Linked DNA regions of Oryzias latipes. The protein of the gene in region 1 interacts with the protein of each later gene in a pairwise test. Links are inferred from orthologs where the notes say so. Each region holds a gene or a part of one and is shown on either strand. Other genes may lie near its edges.

Region 1 (8,159 bases):
ATTATTAGTACAGCATAAGCGTTTATAAGACAAAAAAAAAACTTGTTTTACTTTTGGAATCTACTTGAAGAAAGATCCCCTCCTCCACCTTTTAAGGTTTCTTTTTACCGCGTGTTTAAGCATCTCTGGTTCAAAATCCAAATATAAATACAAGAAAAATGTCACTTTAAAACATCCATAAAAAGGCAGACGTATGCATTTGACTGGTGCTATAATCTACGGATGTGTATTGCCAAGAGTCTGATCATACTATACGTATCCCGACGTTCTACCAGAACACTTCTTTTTTATTTTTATTTTTTTTGGGGGTATCACTTAGAAAAAACTACCTGAATATTAATGTCTTCCATAGTGATGAAATGGTAAAAATCCATTTTATTTAATGATCACAATGTTAAGCACTGCAACTGTATCTCAAATTCACACTGCTTTTGTTTTGGTAAGTTAAAATATAGAAAAGGAACAGTATACTTTGTCTGATTTCCACAAAAAAATATATTTCAGTATAAGAAAAAAAAAAGAATGAATGTGCCTTAACTAATAAGGTTCTAAAAGTATGATTGACGAAATAAAGTGATGTTTATTTCCAATATTGGTAAATGTAGCTTCTCCAGTACTTTTCAATGGTTTAGGAGCCTGAACGGTGCTTCAAGAATAAAGGGGAAAAACATCAATAAAGTGTTATGATGATGATGCAGCAGCATGACAGATGAAGGAGATGCTTTCATGTGGCAAAGATGCTTTATTTCCATGACAGTCTGCTCTGCAGCTGCAGCTCAGCTTTCTCGCACACCATCGCCATGACGTTGGCCTTGTTTCAGAGCGTTGTACACATCACTCTGATCCATCAGGTCGCTGGACTACAATCTATTGCTGGGAGGTTCTGCAGAACTTTAACCCGCTTTGCTGAGAGTGTTTTGACTGATGCTCCGTGCATTAGTCTCTGCACAGCCTGGGCCTGGTTAACTGTACAATGACACTTGGTCATCCAAGTTATTAAAAACAACCTTTTCTGTTTATCCATTTTTTTAAACCAAAATTGGCCCCCAGTCTAATGCAGAGTTCTTCATTTGGCCCTCCGCTACAAAAACTTTGAGAAACCCTGGTTTAAAGGGTCTGTATCCAGCAGAATCAACTTTTTAAGCTTTTAAATGTATAATAATGTTCATTCCTCACAAAAAACAACCCCAAAGCAGTATTGTGATCCGTTCACACATCTCTGAGTATTCCTCTAAAAACCTGCGTTCTGAGCCCCAGCCCCTCCCAATCCACAAAAATGGGTGGACCCTCACATTGCAGCATTACAAAGTGAGGAACAGCCCCTTCCAGGAAGAGTCTGCGGTGCCAACCCACCCCCACGCTAACACACACACCCTCATTCAGCAGCTAGCAGAGCTTGGAGATCTGGAAAACAGACAGGGTGGTAGAGCTAAAGGACCAGGAATGAGCAGCCCTGCTCCACAATATGAACATCCATCTTTGCAAAAGTTCAGATGTTGTTTGTTTTTGTGGGTGAAAGGCAGACATGCTGCCGAGGATGATGTCATGAAATGGGCGGCACCCACAAGGACAGAAAGGCGGAGCCGCAGAGATCGAGACGTTTTACTTCCAGGTAGGAAAATGACCTACAAAATTAACTCATTTAAAAATAAATTCATTCTTTAGTGTGCCAAAGGTAATATATTATTTAAAAGTAGGGGTTGCTTATCCGACCATAACAATCAGGGTGGCTTACCAACTCCCATTAACTCCACAGCAAAACAAGTCTTGCTGTTTGTTGAGCTGAGAACTGGCCTCCAATCCAGGAAATAGGACGACACCAGCGTCGTCTCACCAGAAATGTCCGTCTTGATCAGGACAAAGTGGATAGGGTCGCATATAGACAGCATAGAGGCTGCATCCATCACTTTACCTCCATCTTTAACAAGAAAAGAAGTCATGATTAGGTTCAAGGAGGAGATGTATTTTTTAAGCCTGGAACCTAAGTTCAAGCTCATCTTCACTAACCTCTAAACAGTTACTTTCCTCCTACCTGCATTGTCCCTGCAGAGTTCCAGGAGGAAGTTTTCCCTCATGTCTGGTTCACAGGTACAGGGCACAGGCTTAGATCCAAACCTCTGGTCGCGGAAATGTAGGTAGAGTGTAAACGTAGAAGACACCTGACCAGGTAACGGCTGTGGTTCCTGCAGGTGCTCCAGAAAGGCCTTCCCACCAAGAACTTGGAGATGCAGGTACTGCCTTGATGGGTCTACGTTGATTTGCAAGAAGTAAGAAAAATTAAAACAAGTATGACACAAACACGACACTGTGCACCGCATCATAATTTCTCTTACTCTGTCTCAGCTCGGTCATTTCTTTGTCACCATAATGACTGAAAGGCTTAGATGGAAATCCTGATGCTGTTTTTGTTGCTTTTTCCTACAAAGGCAGGCAGTTAGTGATAGAGTTCCTCAGTCTTTTCTGAATAGAGACAGCTCTCTTCGTTTCTAACATGTGATCTGTCAGTGAGAGGCGAGAACACCTGGCTGAAACGGAGGTCTTTCATCACATCATCTATTATGCCTCTGCGCTGTAGAGCACGTCTGAAATCCTCCTCCGACAAACGTCCAGAGCCGGGATCCACCCTTGCAGTCTCCGCCAGCACCTCTTGGATTTTCCCGTGGATGTTCATCTGAGGAACAGAAATAAAAGGTTGTGTTAGAAGTTCCTCGAACTTAACCTCAGCAGGGAAGAGGAACAGACAGTTTGAACAGACAGCAGTTAGACCAAGCATGGGGACTGTGCCTTAAAAATCTACGCCAATCATCTTTTGCTCTATTGTAAAATTGTTTCCAGTGGTATTTTAATCTTGTTAGGACATAGTTTCTGCAGAGCGGCAGGAGTTCATTAGAAATTCACCTCCAAGTTGTGGGCAGGACTGCTGGTGTGGAGTGAGCCTGCCATCATTTCCCATTAACCCTATGATTACATTCTCTCCTGCTAGCTTACAGTCCCCTCACACCCCCAAGCTAACATTAGCGGTGCAACAAAGATGGCGAGCAATATCGGCGCTATCCTGCTGTACAGATCTAAGCCAGATTCCAGCTCAGACGAGGAAAACAAAGACGTACATGGATCTGTTTGTCTGACAGTGAATGCATCAGAATAGAGCAGAGCAGGGAGCCTGTAGCTTCAACTACAACCATTTTCAAACTGTATTATTTTCATCAGTTCAAAATAATTTGTTAAAATGTTTTACATGATACAGGTTTATACAGTTGATCACGTGTTTTTTTTTACACTTTTGAAGCTGTATTTATTTATTTAATATTTAATACGAATCTCATTTTTGATAATAATTGTCATAATAATTTTCACAATAATTTTAATAATCATTTTTAATAATTTAATATGAATGTCATTTTTGATGTCCTTTTTTGATGTTGTATTATATAGATTATTTCTGAATGTCGTTTTTGCTGCCACAGATAATTAAAATTTCTCCATTGTGGGATTAACAAAGTCATTTATCTATCTATCTATCTATCTAAAAGAGATACTCAGAAATGCAATTTTAATCTTAATTGTCTTTATAAATGTCTACAATCATCGGAAAAATGCTACAAGAACATGTTAAAAACACCATTTTCTTTGGAGTGGGTCCTCTAACAGCTTTAGATTATGGTAACTAGATTTTTGAGCCGCAGGTTTTTACAATCACACAGGCTTTAATGTCACATAGAAGATGAAGATAATGATGTATGTTAGGCCTGCACAATATACCGCAAATTTATCGTTATCGCAATATCCAGCTCTGCAATATGCATATCACAAAAGACGGCGAATATCGCAATAAATCGCAAACCCAAAATGTGTTAAAACAATCTTCTAGCAGCTTGAAGCATTTAACGAATCAAATAAATACCTTTATGCTTTGACTAATCAGATGGACGCCTTTCCATTGTTAACCAATCAGATGGAGGCCTATTATGTTAGATGTTTGTCCCCCATGTCGATGAGGGTCATTTGGAGTGTAATTTTTAAACTGTTGCAATGAAATGGGAATGATGTTTTTGTTTATTTTTCTATTTGTTTATTTACCGCAAATTTATCGTTATCGCAATATTGATCACTAATATCGCATATCGCAAGTTTTCCTCATATCGTGCAGCCCTAATGTATGTTGAGCTGAGGGGTTGGCCCCGCCTTCAGCCCCTAAGGCTCATGGGAAGTGGGGAGCTTTAGGGTGAAACCTTGAGTCAGAGGGTTGTGCACTGAAGCGACAGTCCATGCTGTTAGACTGTTTGAGTGTGTTGGAATAATAGGGCTTGATGCTCGAAAGGTGACTGTGCCTCTGCTTGTGTTAATTCCTGTCTGAGACCAACCGGGGTCGTGCGGTATATGGGGCTCGGACAGTTCTCCCTCATGAGCAGTTGGTTTACGCTACCCCGCTTAAGTGACGGTCTGGCTGGATCGTTACAATATATTTAAAAAAAACTCAGGTTTAAGAAAAGGTTAATCAACTTAAAAAATATACTTCCAACTTCATAAAACATGTTGGTTCTTAATGATCCTCGAACGCAACAGCTGTAGCCTTGGGTCACAATCCCAACATTGACTTTTATGATTATTGATCTCTGTTATTGCCTTTTTAGCTGGCTGCTGTAGTGATGAGAGTAGTGTTTGAAATGACATAGCTTTTATGATTATCTCTTTTAATTCAACCCTTCTTTGGGAATCTGAAGAAAAAAAATTCCTCCTTCGAAAAGTTACTAGTAATGCCATCTTAAATATTTGATGAAGTTGTTTGTTGTTGGTCAGAAGGGTGGTCGGGGTTTAAAACACATAACAGCTATAAGAATTCATGCACAAAAAATAATCATAAAGGACGGTAAATCTAAAGTGCAAACTCTTGAAAACAGAGGATACAACACTAGCGCGTTAAATTTTCTTACCTTCTTCAGGTGACTCTGAATAATCTGCTTCAGTTCGGAGGTTTTTTCTGGAGGTAAAGACATTATAGCTGCAAAATCTGATCCTACGAGATGATTAAAAGTTTACAACAACAAGCTCTGCAGCATAATTTTTGAATTCAGCGGAAATCTAAAACTGTTATGTCCATACAAGAGACGGGGTCCTGACAAGCCCAACAGCCAGACAGTTGCAGAGGAAGGCGTCTAGGTTAATGCCTGAACGAAAAGGAAGAAAATGGAATGACTCATTCTATCGCGTAGCTAAGTAATCATTGTTTTGTACATCAAAATTTTCAGTTTTATAAGGTCACATCATGCAGAAATTAATATTGTTTTTTCGGGATTTTTAGCCAAAAATGTTGTGAATTATATTCAGGAATCCCATTGGTCCATCGTCAGCGAAACATTTAAAAACCAGCCTTAAACAATGCACCTCCAGCTTAATGCAACGTGTGGTGCTGATGCTGCTCCAGAACCTGCACAGCTTCTCATACTTTGTGGAACGATGAATTCTGCGCTCAACTTAACACCTTTGACGGAGAATGTCCACCCTTCATTATTTTTTCTGCTAGAAAAAGATATTAAACATGGCAGAACGTAGCTTCCAAAGTGAAAAAATAGAAAGGTGTTGAAGGAAGCTGTCCAATGTCCAGACAATATGACCTTTAAAACATGTAAGGTTAATGCTGGAAAGTACTAAACCACAACACCTCTGCAAGTTAGAATTAAACCCAATTAATCCACAGACTTGTACAGTTGATCGCAGTTGTAAGAAATGATGAAAAAACAATTTCAAGGATGTCATTTAGATTATTATGGCAAATATGCAATGGATTTGTTACATGGGCAGGTATTTTTATACTTCCAGTTTAATGTTTTAGTAAACATGTTACCTTGCTCTGAAACAAAGCAGGGATTTTATCTGTTTACAGTCCACTTAGTAAATACTTTCTTTCATCAATTCATTCATCTTCTAAACCCATTTAGTCCTTTTCCAGTGCTGCTGGAGCCTATCCCGGCCACTCATGGGTGAAGTCAGTGGACATCCTGGACAGGTCGCCAGTCTGTTTCAGGGCCACATATCACACACCCACACACACACTCATATTGACACCTATGGACAATTTAGAGTAACCAATTTACCTATGAAGCATGTTTTGGACGGTGGGAAGAAGCCAGAGTCCCCGGAGAAAACCCACGCATGCACAGGGAAAACATGCAAACTCCTAACAGAAAGGTCCCCGTTGGTGTTCCGTTTCAGGTCCCCCAGCCGGGCTTTGAACTGGGGGCCTTCCTGCTGTGAGGCAAGAGGGTCCACTGTGCAGCCACTTACTAAATACCAAGGTATAAAAACAAATACAAGGAAAAATATCCGTCGTCCCAGGTGGTAAAGAGCACACGTAGAAGAGGAAGGGACACTATTTTCTGCAGCTAGTCGCTAAATTCATAAATCCAAGCTTCATTCTTTCACTCAGAATGTCCCACTGCAGACGACATAAAATAACTAAAGTCCTGATTACCAGAAAACCCTCTTTAAAAACTGAATTTGTTTTTAGAATCCAGTTCCAGGCCTCCAGTCTGACCACATTGGAGTAGTTGATGGTCAAACGATATTACAAATATATTAGTAAGTACATTTTATTTGTATAGCACCTTTCACAGACAGGAGTCACAAGGTGCTTGACAGGTTAAAATATGTATATATACACATATAAAAACACAAAAGATAAAAAGCATAAACCACCAATATTAGCACAGTATAAAGAGGAATGTTGAAGCTATGATGCCGACTGCCCAGATGTGATGCCTCTGGATTACACAATACAAACAGGGCTGGATGAGAGAGAGAGAGAAAGAATAAAAAGATTCTCTACCTTTGAAGATTTTTTTTATCATTTTAAATTCTGGCTGTTAACTGGAATTTGCTCATGTCTTACATTTCATGTAAACCAGTGAAGAGTATGGTGTGACTAAATAAATTCAGGGCTCAGTACAGGCTAAACAAATACACTGTATTACCAAATGTACCAAATGATGAGAATCAGGTGTCCTAATCACTGGGCTGTATAAAATCAAGCACTCAGACTTTCAGACTGTTTATGCAAACATTTCTGAAAGAATGGTCCTCTCTCCGCAGCTCAGTGAATTCCAGCGTGGAACTGTCATAGGACGCCACCTCTGCAATAAATCCATTGGTGAAATCTCCTCACTCCTAAATACTCCACAGTCAACTGTCAGCTCTATCATAACAAAATGAAAAAGTTTGGGAACAACAGCAACTCAGCCACAAAGTGGTAGACCACGTAAGTGACGGAGAGGTGTCAGTAGATGCTGAAGCGCATAGAGGTTGCCGACTTTCTGCAGTCAATTGCTGGAGAGCTCCAAACTTCATGTGACCTTCAGATCAGCCCAAGTAAATCACTAAGAGAGCTTCATGGAATGGGTTTCCATGGCTGGGCAGCTGCATCCAAGCCACACATCACCAAGTGCAATGCAAAGCGTCGGATGCAGAGGTGTAAAGCACGCCGCCACTGAACTCTAGAGCAGTGGAGACGCCTTCTCCGGAGTCATGAATCCCGCTTTTCCATCTGGAAATCTGATGGACGAGTCTGGGTTTGGAGGTTGCCAGGACAACGGTACATTTCGGACTGCATTGGGCAGAGTGTGAAATTTGGTGGAGGAATTATGGTGTGGGCTTGTTTTTCAGGACTTGTTCCTTTAGTTCCAGTGAAATGAACTCTGAATGCTTCAGGATACCAAAACCTTTTGGACAATTCCATGCTTCCAACCCAGTTGGAAGCATGGAAGTGGGTTTGAAGTGGGTCCCTTCCTCTTCAAACATGACTGTGCACCAGAGCACAAAGCCAGGTCCATAAAGACATGGATGTGGATGAACTTGACTGTCCTGCACAGAGTCCTGACCTGAACCCCATAGAAAACCTTTGGGGAGGAGACTGAGAGCCAGGCCTTCTCCACCAACATCAGTGTGTGACCTCACCAATGAGCTTTTGGAGGAATGGTCCAGAATTCGTATGAATTTGACTTGAGACCAGTGAAAATGCAGGTGATCATCAGAACTGCTGTGAAGGCATTGGAATGCTGCAAACAAAGACACAATCACTTCCTTCTGTAAGGTTGCATTTAATCCAAGGTGCTTTGTTCCAACTTCTACATTAAACTATTATGGCTTTAGCCAAGTCTCTGTTA
Region 2 (7,346 bases), on another chromosome or scaffold:
CTCCGGACTGAGGGACGGCTGTGACGCGGACGGCGGAGGGAGATGAAGAGCGGTGGTTCGCCTCTGCAACTTTTCCTGAAGAAACTGAACAGACACGGATTCCCGCTCGTCTTTGGTGGGGGGTTAGCCGTACCGTGCCTCCAAACCCTCCTCAGAAATATGAATTAAATAAAAACCGGTATCGAACCCCGATGGGTCCTGCTTGTCGGGGTTCGGGGAGTCCTGGTTCAGTCAGAGCGGCTGCCTCTCCGAGTGTTGCCGAGCGGCGATGTCCGCTTCCTGCAGCCGAACTGTTCGTTTTCCCGCAGTAACACGGCTCACGGTCAGCGCGAGCCCGTCTTCACGTGCGTGTTTTCTGGGGTTTTTTCTTCAGAACGGCGGCACCGCTGGCTTTGTGGTTCGACTTCCTCCCACTGCGGCGGGGAGAGGCGGGTAAAACGCGGAGCGGCTCTTCCTTTGGGCCGGAGCGGCATTGGGCTGTTTTCTACCGAAAAAACCTGCTTGGCGTTGCGGCTCTACGGAGAAACTCCCGCCGTTTTCGGGGTTTTCACTCCGACCTTCGACGAGACGACGCGACGATTGGCCGAATAACGGCAGAGAACACAACCAGAAATTCGCGTTTTCCTCCCTGAAACTGCACAGTCACGAAGCAGCGCCTTCCTACATTTATGTTAGAACAGTTTCTGTCAGATTGACCCAAAGGCACGCGGAGTCTGGCGGACGCGCAGCGCCGCCGCCTGGCCGGCCGCAGTACTGCACCAACACCGCAGAGGCAGGCCTGCAGACGCAGAAAAACTGGTTTAGGGATAAATATTTAACAAGTTTCACCTGAGTGAACGCCTGCAGCGTTTAAAAGAAGGAAACAAAAATAAAAAACATCGCCAATTATAAAAAATATATGTATAAAAAATTCCATATACATATATGTAAACAAATGTATCCAAATTTTGAATTAACATTTAACAATTACCTACATTTTTACAGTATAACTAATTAAGTATTTTTCTCTATATTTGTTCACGCTCTACGTGATTCCCACATAAAAAAATATGTCTTAAAAGTATAATATTCCTCTCTTCCTTCAAAAACTGCACTCTCAAGGCAAACCTGCTTTTAATGGCAAAAAACAACATTTCCAACATTCTTATCCACCAATTTCATTGTATAAGATTTTTTTGTATAGTATAGTCATAGATTCCTGAAAACCATTCATTCATCCGTCTTTCTTAACCTCCCAGATACTGTTGGGCAAAGGCAGGGTATGGTCTGGACGGGTTAGGGACGCATGAGGGGCTGTAAGCTATGGCGAGAAAGCTCTCGGCAGGAGACTGGGAGCAAAAAGCACCTGAACATTCAGTGAGCTCATAAAACTATGCAACATGCACGTGAGCTACAGCGGCGTTCAACAGACAAAGGTCACTAAAATGCATTTTTATTTAGAGTTTAGTGTTTTCAAATGATCATAAAATTCTTGCTTTCATGTTGGAATTAAGAGCAGAATTATATTGTATTTTAAATATTCTGTTATAATCTCTAAATAAACATAATTTAAGCAAATAAATGTATATATATATATTTTGTTTCTATAATATTTTCTGCCTTAGAGTTTTATCCATATCAGTAGCTAAAGTTCCTGTAAAAATGTAAATGTTGACGTTTTGTGTCAAAAAACCCATAATCTGCTGTTTTGGCGAAATTAGAAACTTTTAAGCGCAGATCTTCGGTATCAGAATCAAAAATAAGCAGAAAAAAAATGGAACTTCCTCAATTTTACCTTTGGAAAATAAACAAAAAAACCTGATTGAAAATTTGTGTTAACTTTTGACAGTACAACATTCAAAATGTCCATATTTTTACTTTTAGAACGATATTTTGTATGAACTCTATTTTTTCCTGAACATTTTTTCAGTTACTTTTACGCCTTCCACGAAACTCCGCCTTCCTTATCACACATTCATTTAATCTTCTTCTTTTTTTTACAAATATAAACTAATTGCCTTCTGTATTTGATATTTTCTCGTAGATTTGACGGGAAAGAGCCACCCCCACCCCACCCCCCCCATGAAAAAGAATGTCTCATCCACTTGTCTCACTCTTTATTTTCAGCCCAATTTTTATTGGCGGGAAACCCGCGGACAGGAGCGATCCAGGAGCCTCACAGAAGCAGAAATGTTGGTGGAGGTCAGTCATGTTTAAGAAAAACAGTTTATTCAGCACTGGGTGGCAGCGGCGGGCGGGGGTGAAGGGTCACAGGGGAGAACGGGTTCTGGGTCAGCCGTTACTGCTGAATGCGGCGGATGGACTGGATCTGAGGGGTCTGGCAGTGGGACCCGAACTCCCTGAAGTGTTTGTACTCCCCACAGTGACGGTCGCACTCCATGATATACTGGTATCCACGGTAACCGGGGTACTGGTAGCACACAAATCTGAAAAGAGAGGAGGGAAAGTCAGAGGAGGAGGCAGGGGGTGGATGGAGAGGAGCTGGGTGGAGGTGGGGGGGGGGGGGGGGCACTCACGCTCCAGACTGGATCCTGAGTGAGCCGACTTCGTTGTTGCACCATCCCATGGCCTGGAGGGAGGGGTAATCGTCGCTGAGCTCGCCCTTACGGCCCAGGAAGTTCTCACGCTCGTAGATAGTCATCCGACACTCTCTGTGGTTCTACGGGGGGGGGGGGGGGGGGGGGGGGGGGGGGGGGGCACAGAGCAAAAGATCCGGTCTGACGGGTTCTGAACGAGTAAAGTCGTGTCACTTCCTGAGGGGGAGGGACTCACGGCACAGGCGATGGGTCTGAAGGAGGTCATCCTCTCGATGTGGTAGGCGTTGCTGCCCCCAAAGGCATTACACTGGGGGTACTCCCCCCTCTCCAGGATAAACTGCTGCCCCTGGTAGGAGGCGTGCTCATAGCCCACCCAGCTGGGACAAAAGCAGGGACAGAGGAGTTAGGGAAAAGGGGCCGCGGCCAGACCCGACCCGAGCACTACCGTGTGCGGATGGACTCACGCGCCGCTCTCCACCCTCAGGGAGCGCACCGTCTCAAAGCCGAACTCCATCACGTTGCAGCACTCGGAGGTGAACTCGTGGTGGCGGCCCTGGAAGCACTCCTCATCGTAGACGATGATCTGTGGAGGCAGAGGGGAGAGTCAGGTGCTGAAGGCCGCCCGGGTTCGGGTCTGGCGGCGGCCCGGGACACTCACCTTCCAGTGGCCAGAGAACTTGGTGCAGTGGTGAGTCATGTTGTCTGTGAAGAGAGGAGAGCAGCTCTTAGACGTTACTCAAGATAAAGACTGAAAAACCCAAACAGCCCAGCAGCTCAGCTCATGCTGGACCACAAGTGTCAGTGCGGGCAAGCCCCCCCGGCTAATGGACCATCCTGGATGTGATTCCCGAAAAAACGTTTTTAGTGTTTCCATGGAGATGACTCCTCTCCATCAGAATTCCTTTGGCTTCTTCCGTCCACTTGATCTCAGTTTTCCACCATCTCCTGTCCTGGTGTTTGTTTGGGGGGGATGTAAGTGGGGAGGGTGCATTCGACTAAAGGTATGTAAGTGCTGAGGGGGGGGGCGGCTCTACCCCGGTTGCTGTCCGGCCGAGGGACGGGGACTCACCTCGCATTGATGCCCTCAGGTTGTCCTGCCGTGAGAGTGAGAGGAGCCACGCGCCCCCACCCTTTTAAAGCCTCCCCTGGCAGGGGGCCACGCTGAAAGCCCCGGCTCAGCAGCAGGGAGGGGCCTTTTTTTTCTATCTTTGCCCCCCCCCACCCTCCCCACCCACCCACCGACAAAAGCAGTGTTAATCTGTGGAGGGGCAGAAGTGCAGACACCACATTATCACCGGGGTGGGGGGCACAGGGGAATATAAGAGAGAGAGGGGGAGGCGCCAGCTCCCAACCACTCGGGAAAACACCGCCGTCCTGAAAACATCAGAACACGGAAACAAAAGCATCACATCTCAGAATCTGACATTTTTAGATTCAGTTTTCCTCTATTAGAAAAACCCTCACTCCAAAAAGGGGCGGGTCAAAGCTAGACTCCACCCCCTAATTACAGATGCCATAACTGAGGCTGCTCAGAAAAAGATGGAAAACACTTTTACTAACAGACATGACATGTTCTATGCCATGGTTTTCCGTTTGCTCCGCCCACTTTTGCCTGTTGGGTTTTTCGGCGGTTATCTCGCCACTTCCCATATACGCCCGTATCAAAGAATAACACTGAATAAGAAAATTTCCCTTTATGCAAATGATGTGTTATTTATATCAAAAGCAGAGACATCTATTCCAATTCTACTTCATATTATTAAGCAATTCAGCCAAATTTCCGGGTAACCTTTCCACTGGGGAGCCACAGGGAGGGAAGGGACCCTCCTGCTAATTTTCCTTTTAGGTCGTCATATGAAGGCTTTTCATGCTCAGGTTCAAGGATATCTGCAAACACCTCAGAGATGTATAAGTTAAACTTTAAGATGGTTTTGAAGTCTTGACGGTGGTTCGACCTCCCCAGGTCACTGATCACTCACTTATTAACCCTTGTGCTATCCTATGGGGTCAAGATCACCATTGACGTGTTCTCCCTACCATGACAAAGGTGGATAAAGGTGGAAAGATTACATGTAATCCATGGACACCAGTGAGGAACACAATTTATTGAAGAAAAAGGTTCAGTGCACTGTCTTGTGGGTCTAGATGACCCAACTCCCAATGTTAAAGTGCCTAGGATAGCACAAGGGTTAAAAGCGTAGCCTTCTCCCCGGGCTTAGACTTTGGGACATTTAACAAATGGCATGATAAGGGATTAAAACATGTAAAACCTTTTCGAAAAAGGATATTTTCTGTCTTTTGGGCTAATTCAAGGCAGATTCAGAACATCCCACCAAGATTTGTTAGATTTCCTCCGGGTGAGACACTTTGTTCAGACTGACCCCTCTTTTCAAGGGTGACCAACCAATCTTACATTCAGTAGAAATTTTTCTTCTCAAATTCAATGAAAATGCCATCTCCAAGAAGACATTACTCTATATCTCTGTTATGCTCAATTAATGGCATTGAACCCTCTCACAAGTGAGAAATCTAAGCATCGTTGGAAGGCAGATTTGGGGATTGAACTTGATGTGGAAACTTGGTCAAATGCTTTTACAACTGCAAAAAAACAAAAACATGTTACAAACTCAGGGAAAACCAATATCGACTTTTCTCCAGGACTCAATATATTCCACAGGTTTTACATAGGATTCAACCACAGCACTCAGCTCTCTGTATAAAGTGTAGACACACTGTAGGAACTTACTAGCACCGTGTTCTCCAGTGTCAGTTGATCTCCAGATTTCTGCAATATGTAGCATCGGAGCTCCGCTCAATTTTTCATGGATCTTTTGCCCCAAACCCTATTTTGTTCCTTTTTGGCCAGTCGGGGAGGTTGCCTGTGTTACCTGGACAGATGAGGCTGTTCCAAAAACTTTTACTCCTGGCTAGGAGATATATACTACTACAATGGACACAAGTGCAACCTCCATCCATTACACAATGGTACAGAGAGACTTTTAAGGTTTTTCCAATGGAACGCCTCAGTGCCCCATTAAAAGGTAACTCCGACATTTTCTACAAGACGTGGTGGGCTGATCTGGATCACCTTCCTTGAGAAATAGCTGATATACTTTGTAAATACTTTGTAAAGGAGGCTCACATTTTGTATTTCAAAGTATTTAGTTAGTGCTTTAAGAAAACATCCCAACATGTTATTGGGACGTAGATTTTGTGTGCATCTTTTACTAGTTAGACATCTGCTGTGCTGTTTTGTGTTGTGTTCTTTTCTTGAAAAGATAATAAAGTACAATTACAAAAAAACAATGCTTAAATAAAGGCGGATTTTTGAGCTGTGAACTGCTGACAAGGCCTCTCCCAAGGTAAACTCATGCTTGCGTGTTCTGAGAATATCAAACTAACCATGTGGGGCGGGGCAAAAGCTAATAAAGTTTGATCAACCCTTGTGCTATCTTAGATGACCCCCCCTTACATTGCCGTGTTCTCCCTACCATGACAAAGGTGGATAAAGGTGGAAAGATTTCATGTAATCCATGGACACTAGTGAAGATCACAAATCATTGAAGAAAAAAGGTTCAGAGCACTGTCTAGTGGGTCTAGATGACCCAACTCCCAATGTCAAAGTGCCTAGGATAGCACAAGGGTTACAAGATAAATAATATAGAATATACTCAGACGGGCTTGACTCCAGCTGTTGTTGAATAAGAACTTCAATAGATCCAATGTATAAGAGAACCAGACTGAGTGACTCCTCCCCCCTGACGTTCTAAACAGGAAGTGGCTCCAAGAAGCCATAATCCCGTAGACTTCTGTAGAGAAATAAACCGCTGTAACTCAGTATTCTTATTGGTGAGAAGAACCATTCTGGCTCTGATACGTTTTATGTATCATGTTCTTGGTAATCGACATATTTGTCTGTAGTTCAAGTTTTAAACTGTCCAATCAGATGCCTTTGCGTAGCCTGCTTTCAAGTGCTAGAGGTGTGGCCTTCCAGCAAGCTCACTCCTGATTGGTGAGAGTGGTTGCCACAGAAACGTTGACTCAGACCGACTCGGACCAATCACTGCTTACCGACAACACATGGCTCCAACATGGCGGTCCCTGTTTTCCCCAAAAACTGGCGACTCAATTGACTTCATCTGGTTGGAGCTTGAAGTAAACCAGTTTCTACGGATGACATCACGCTCAGTCGGTACGGAAACAGTCCGGGTTTTACAGTAACATGCAGTTTAGGCATGGGGGGTTAGCTCTGCTAACAAGTCCTGACTCTAAGCCAAAGAAGATTGTCACCGTTTGCTTATTTTTTTTCTTCCAGAACAGGTTTTCAAATATGAAAAAAACATGTCAGGTCTGTAAAAAAAAAAAAATCGGACAATTGCAAGTCATGGCTCCGCCCATCATATGATGTCACTGTAGTGATCCATGATCTGAATCATTTAAAAGTAAACCTACAGCACATTTTCTTCTCACCAATGAAGACAAAATGTCTCCGATCATCTTTGATCCATTTTCAAAGCCTTCCCAGTGCTCTTTTCATTACCATGATGCCGAAAACCTGGTTTTCTAGGACATAGTTTCTGGAGAGCGGCAGGAGTTCAGTAGAAATTCACCTTTGAGTTGTGGGCGAGACTGTTGGTGTGGGGTAACCCCGCCCCCACTTCTGAGAGCTCTACAAGAGTCTACAAGAGCTTCAAATACGATCATTTTTAAAGTGCACTTTTTCATCTGCTCTTGATTCACAATAATTTAAATCAAGAAACACAGAAAAGCAGTTTTGAGCTTTCCTTCTTCATCAGAAAAATGCTTCAA

The links. The genes of interacting proteins can lie anywhere in the genome.
Region 2: the proteins of cep76 (region 1) and cryba4 interact in binary tests that used the Homo sapiens proteins (3 or more experiments, as listed by UniProt). The two-hybrid records come from large-scale screens. The link is inferred for Oryzias latipes from reciprocal best matches to the Homo sapiens genes CEP76 and CRYBA4.

What each region holds. Positions count from the first base shown.
Region 1 is NC_019874.2:5,535,020-5,543,178, reverse strand, and holds the start of cep76 (centrosomal protein of 76 kDa), read right to left. Parts: upstream 5,137-8,159; 5' UTR 4,998-5,136; coding exon 4,935-4,997; intron 2,672-4,934; coding exon 2,522-2,671; intron 2,419-2,521; coding exon 2,334-2,418; intron 2,249-2,333; coding exon 2,033-2,248; intron 1,919-2,032; coding exon 1,736-1,918; intron 1-1,735. UniProt on the Homo sapiens protein: Centrosomal protein involved in regulation of centriole duplication. Required to limit centriole duplication to once per cell cycle by preventing centriole reduplication.
Region 2 is NC_019870.2:2,108,878-2,116,223, reverse strand, and holds cryba4 (beta-crystallin A4), read right to left. Parts: upstream 3,674-7,346; 5' UTR 3,614-3,673; coding exon 3,607-3,613; intron 3,240-3,606; coding exon 3,196-3,239; intron 3,121-3,195; coding exon 3,002-3,120; intron 2,915-3,001; coding exon 2,773-2,914; intron 2,660-2,772; coding exon 2,517-2,659; intron 2,427-2,516; coding exon 2,279-2,426; 3' UTR 2,080-2,278; downstream 1-2,079. UniProt on the Homo sapiens protein: Crystallins are the dominant structural components of the vertebrate eye lens.